2 linked regions of the Tribolium castaneum genome follow. The protein of the gene in region 2 purifies or fractionates together with the protein of the main gene of each other region. This does not show direct contact. Links are inferred from orthologs where the notes say so. Each region holds a gene or a part of one and is shown on either strand. Other genes may lie near its edges.

Region 1 (3,102 bases), on a different chromosome or scaffold from region 2:
ATAAGTGTGTATAAACACGTTCTACTTTTTGTGAATATCACCCAACTTGTTTGATTGCAGCGCGAGACCGAAATCCTCTTCTTCCTGATCATCGTGATCATGATCAGGACCCGAAAATCGGGCAGTGTATCAATGATCAATTACTTATCGTCTAGTTTCGTGTACACAAAAATAGCGAATTTGATACTATGGTTCAACGCCGATTTTCTGATGGGCATTATCTACGGGATCATATTCATCTGTGAGTCATTTTGTGTCATAATTGTCGCATTTAATTGGGTGATTTCAGTGGGGGCGTTGCTATTTCCCGAGCCCACGTATTCCGGCCCTGACAATGTCATTTATTTCCGGGGCATGCAAGGCTTGGACGAGGAATTGGCACGTAGTCGGGACGGCTATTGGTTGGTCACGTTTTACACCGTCTGGAACCCGGCTTGTGTGAACTTCGCCCCGGTTTTCGCAAAACTGAGCACCGAATATCACTTGGAGAATTTCAAGTTTGGGAAAATCGACGTGGGGCGATACCCCGATGCCGCACAGAAATATCGCGTGAATGACAGCAGTTTAAGTAAGCAGTTACCCACGACAATTCTGTTTAAAGAAGGGAAAGAAGTGGTGCGGAGGCCGGCTATTGACTCAAAAGGCAACATTTTGAAATTCTTTTTCTCGAGTGAGAACGTTAAAGGGGCTTTCGATCTCAATAACTTGTACGAAGAGTGCAAGAGCGCGCTTAAGAATAATAAGAACAAACACGTGAAGAACGACTAATTATTGTTATTTATTTGTTTCTAGTGCCATAGTAATAAATTGTTAATACGACAAAAGCATGGCTTTGGCCACTTCTGCCGCCTTGTCCTTTCCGACAAGTTTGTCCACTAGGGTTAGGGCGAAGACGAAGGCAGTGCCAGGCCCTTGACTTGTAACCAGAGTCCCATCAACCACAACTGGCTCCTTTTTGTATTTATATTGACCACCTTCGAGCATTTGCGCCTCCATGGCTGGGTACGACGTCACAGTCTTGCCCACATAAACCCCATGGGCCTTCAAGGCCGTGGGCGCTACAACCCCATAATTTTAACATAGGCAACCAATTATACAGGTGACACAGGGCTGTGTAACTTTGCTATTTGAAATATTGCTATGCTGTTTTCATTATCCGATAGATCGACTTAAAATCCACAAACTAAAAATATTTTTATTATACACAGGGTGTTGTATAACGGAATTATTCAACTTCTGGTTATAAAAAAGACCAATTTTTGAAAAATCATAACGAAGTCGCCTATGAATATTTTCCGCCAAATTTGCAATAGAAAAATTCTGAATACCTTGTAGTTTTATCAAATAGATTACACACCCTTGGGTCACCCTGTATAATTAAGGAAATTTCACAGTAAATTATTACAAACCGGCACAAATCGCCCCCGTGAGTCGCCCCGCCGCCTCCTGCTCCCGAATCAACTCCCCTACTTCTTTAGACGCGGCCAAAGCCTTCGCCCCTCCTAGCCCCCCAGGTAAGACAATTGCGTCAAAGGGGCCTTTGGCCTCACAGATTGAAATGTCAGGTTTAATGTTGACACCGCGGCTGCACTTGATGATGTTGGCGTCCGGTAGGCCTGCAACTGTTACTTCCACCTAAAAATAACAGGAAAAATTTGTGTTTTTTTTTAGTAGGGGTTAATTTACACCGCCTCTGCGAAGTACGTCAATTGCGATTACAGCCTCCATTTCTTCAGCGCCTCCGGCGAGGAAAACAAGGGCTTTTGTGCTCATATTCGAAATAAAACGCACCGCTAATCCTAACCTATTAAAGCGAGTGAGCGGAGCCCTAAAACTTTGACATATGACTGACATTGGAGTAGGTCATGCCAGTTTGGGGATTTTGTTCGCGTTAGGTTGTTCAACAAAATTGCATATTTTGCAAAAAATAAAATTGGAAATAAATACACGTAATTCCCCTTGTGTCCGTACTCCCTAAATTAATGTCATAATGACTGATTTTGTTTAATTACGGTAATTACATCCTTGTAATTAACACACCTAGTTAGTTGGTGTTGCAAGGTTGGCGGCGGAATTTGACGTTTGCCACACCTATTTGTTTACCTACCCAAATGTGTCATACCTTTATTTATTGATTTAATTGTTAAAAAATACATAAAAACATGAATTACGGCAAGAAATCGCCAACGACTGGCACCCCCTCGGTGTACTCACACGTCACAACACGCAGCAGTGCGAATTTGCGAAGTAGCCGAAGTATAAAATCGTTGAAAATCCCTTGGTACAGAAAACCAATCATAACCGAATCTTATATTTTGGACGTCCAGAGATCCTCCCTATTAATCGGAGTGTTTTCTTTGGTATGTTACGCCCCCTTTGTTTAAATATCACATTTTCATAAATTTCATGTTTTAGCTGTTGTCCATCTTCACAGTTATCACAAGTTGCTTCGATCTCTACTGCTACTCAATGGCAGTCCCAGGGTCCGTCCACACCGGCTATTACGTTATTTCCTACCAGTTTATTTACGTGGGAAACCGTCACGGTAAGCCCACCATTTAATCGCCCATTTGTCCTCAATTTGTTGTTTTAGTCCGCAATACTCTTGTAATGTTTGCTGCTTTTTCCATTCTTCTGGCAATTGGTGTGTTTGTGACCAGCATTATGCTTATAATTGCTCTCCGGAAGGTAAAACTACAAAACTTTGATTTGTTGTTGTTGGTACTTGTTGTGGTGGTGGATAGGTGGCGCTAAATGTAACGAGTCACGAATATCATACGTACGGGCCAGGATATAAACGAAAGGCTGATTTTCAAACATCACTCTGGTTTCCCTTCAGTGCGAATAAATCTTTCGCCTTTTACTAAAGATTTCCGTGGAGGGGAACAATTCAAATGAGTCTATGAAAATTTCTTGATTGCCCGGCGAAAGCTGGGCGCCTGATTTAATTAAAGCAATATTTTCCATGTTACTTTTAAGTAAGTGGTTTTTTAATTGTATTATAATATCCACTTTTGCGCACTCTTATAACTAAGTTTGTACAACGACATGTACTATTATAGATTATACGGACTGTTTATAAATATTGTAGGATCTCAGGTG
Region 2 (3,027 bases):
TTGACTTTGAAAACATTTTTCAGCGGAAATTTTGAGTGACGGAGCGACTTTTGACATTTTTTTGACTGGACCGAATTTACTAAATTCTCTTTATGGTTGAATCTGAATCTGAGTTTTTAAACAATTCAAATACATGTTTAAACGTTCGAGGAAACGAGAAACGTGGAGAGTTGATTGCCTAAGTTGTTTTTTCCCTCAAATATTTTTAGACAAAACGTTAATTTCCAAACTTTTTAAATTTTGTCTTGTTACTACGTCTATGCATTATGAAAACATGTGTTTTTTATATAACTACACTGTGATATAAAATGCAAAAGCGCTGACCAAAGTATTATGTACGTATTTTAAATAATTTATTGTGTAAATCGTAACAATTGTAATACAAATACCAAGAGTCAACATTTGATATGGTTAAATATTTTAGCATTATTTACTTAATTCTCGTTATATTGAATTTTACATATCTGTTCATAACACAACAATCTTTTTTAAATTATTTATTCTTTAATAAGACTTATTCATATTCATGGCAATGTGAGGCAAGTCAGGTGTAAAAACAGCAGAACCAATCGATACGATTTGCATAATTAAAAACTTTAACTGTTAGAAAAGCACAATTACTCAGTCGATATTTAAGCAAATGATTCCAAGAATATTTAATCATTTCCTTAGTTCCTGCCGACATTTGATTTAAGAAAAAACAATTTTTTAGGAAAATGGATATGGAAAAAGTGTTAATTACAATACGATAATTCTTTGTAACGGTTTATTAATTATCACTAGTACTATAATTAAACCTATAATAATCAATGAATGCTATTTGGTCTTGCAACGAGCCTTGAAAATAGTTTTAATCAGAAACTAAAAAACTTAGTTAATAATAAAAATATCAACCATAAATTCCTATCCTCGATAAAATAAAATAATGCAACATTACAACAGCACTTCAAAGACATGTTGCTTTACAATTTGATTGCATTGGCTAGGGAGCAGGTCAAGCCAGTGCCGTCAGGTTCAACCTGAAGCGAGGTAATTTTGCCATTGTCAACAACCATGGAGTACCTCTTGCTCCTAGTGCCCCCAAGTGGGGCAATATCAACAGTCAAATCTAAAGCTTTGGTAAAAGCGGCTGAAGGATCGGCCAAAAGTCGGACTTTTCCGGTTGTTTTTTGGTCTTTAGCCCATGCTGCCATAACAAATGGGTCATTTACAGAAACACAAAATATCTCACTGATCCCTTGACCCTTTAATTCCTCAGCTTTCTGTACGTAACCAGGTAGGTGAGTCTGGAATGATCGCATGTAATAATAGTGCGCAATTCAAGGACAGTTAGTACTTTCGAACAACCGGGTGTAAAAGCACCAGGGACTGCAAAAATGATTATTTTTTTACCGGCTGCCAGTTGGGCTAAGTTGACTTTGTTGGTCGGGAGGTCTTCAAAGAGGTCGACGTTTGGAAGGGAATCTCCGACCTGTTATAAACAATAATATAAACATAACCATTTTCACATGTGATTATGTTACATAATAAAGAGCTATATTACCTTTGCAGGCATGTTGAGTGCTGTTGTTGTTTTCAGTGTTCTTTTAACAAACTGAGTTAACAATGAGTTGCAAATGATTCTGCTCGACGTCAGTTGACCAACATTCATTTTATACCGGCTTTTAATTATTTAGAAAAGTGAATAAGAGATGACCTTGGTGTCTTAAAACGACTGCGCAGTGCAACCATGCACCCACCAGTACTATTCAATTTTTAATTCTCAAGGCAATTAATTGATTTAGCGTAATTCATCCGGAAAGCATTTGCAAGGAAATACATTTTTTAGTTACATTTAATCTAAATTCGTGTTCAGAATTATCCTCGTGAGTCACATCTGTAACTGTAGTAAATAATCGGTGGTAGTATTTAGTAAAGACGGCATTTGAACCTAGTTTCTGCGAACTTTTGTAAAATAATTGTATTCCCGATGGAAAAAATGTCACTGAAACGCAAAAGTAGCGAAATAATTGGGTTTCGCAAAATTTTATAGAAAAAATGCGCTTTTATGACCACATTCCGCCAAATAATGCAATTTTTTAGTTCAAATGAATTTAGTTTGTCAGATATTTCGCTTATGTTCTGTTGAATAATTTATTTATGAATTTCTCGGGATGCAGTTATTCCAGGAATAGTGGAATGTCCTTATTAAAAAAAATCATGGAAGCTACATAGGTACTCGGAAGGATAGTTTGAAGGGCAGCAATTAAAAAATGATCAATAAGATCTAACACTTTTATTATTAGTATTGAGCCTTTTGTACAAATAAAGAGTGGCGATTATTTAGTAAAAATATCGATTCGATATTTGCAACTGATTATGCCATTACAGTAAAGGGTGATTCATCCCACAAACAACAATGAAAAGAAATTAAGTAATGAAAAACAGTGAGACACACTGTGTATGACCGGAAAGCCATTAAAAACCGTGTGTTAACACGTGATATTTGTTAAGGTACTAGATTTTATTTCACTCTTACGAAGTAATAAAATAATCATCTAAGTTGCCCCTTGCAACAATAAATACGTCATCATCATCGTAAAGTTCAGATCCATATACTCACTTAAACTAGTCATACATCATCAGCTTTCCGCATTATTGTACTGAACGAAAATATAAAAAATAAGAATACAAACTATGCCTTAATCGTAACTAGTGTCTTGGTGGGGCTGCCGCCGGCGACCTTGACCTGAACCGGGAGCTACTACTATCGAACCTCCTGCCTCCGCCCCCTCGCCCATTGTAGCTATCACTCCTGCTCCCGTAGCCATCTCTCCTCCTGCTAAAATCCCTTCCGTAGGAGCGCCCTCCATCATCGCGCCTTCCTCCCCCGTAGGAATCAAAGCGGCCTCCAGGCCGCCCCCCGCGGCCGCCTCTGAAGCCGCGGTCGCCACCGTAGCCGCCCCCGCGGTACGGGGGCCCGCCTCGGCCCCGGCCGCCCCTAAAGCCCCCGCGGCGGGACTTGCCCCTCGCGATTTCCACGCGCAG

Evidence for each region.
Region 1: the proteins of Prx5 (region 2) and protein dj-1beta fractionate together in Homo sapiens (co-fractionation; 3 studies listed by BioGRID). This does not show direct contact. The link is inferred for Tribolium castaneum from reciprocal best matches to the Homo sapiens genes PRDX5 and PARK7.

The regions. Positions count from the first base shown.
Region 1 is NC_087401.1:11,635,843-11,638,944, reverse strand, and holds protein dj-1beta, read right to left. Parts: upstream 1,878-3,102; 5' UTR 1,855-1,877; coding exon 1,687-1,854; intron 1,636-1,686; coding exon 1,410-1,635; intron 1,059-1,409; coding exon 811-1,058; 3' UTR 769-810; downstream 1-768. Other genes in the region: thioredoxin-related transmembrane protein 2 homolog, read left to right, coding at 61-241, 290-768; uncharacterized protein pasi2, read left to right, coding at 2,163-2,360, 2,416-2,545, 2,594-2,688. UniProt on the Homo sapiens protein: Multifunctional protein with controversial molecular function which plays an important role in cell protection against oxidative stress and cell death acting as oxidative stress sensor and redox-sensitive chaperone and protease.
Region 2 is NC_087402.1:1,937,594-1,940,620, forward strand, and holds Prx5 (peroxiredoxin-5, mitochondrial), read right to left. Parts: upstream 1,714-3,027; 5' UTR 1,652-1,713; coding exon 1,544-1,651; intron 1,472-1,543; coding exon 1,337-1,471; intron 1,287-1,336; coding exon 963-1,286; 3' UTR 753-962; downstream 1-752. Other genes in the region: malate dehydrogenase, read right to left, coding at 1-16; RNA-binding protein Rsf1, read right to left, coding at 2,692-3,027. UniProt on the Homo sapiens protein: Thiol-specific peroxidase that catalyzes the reduction of hydrogen peroxide and organic hydroperoxides to water and alcohols, respectively.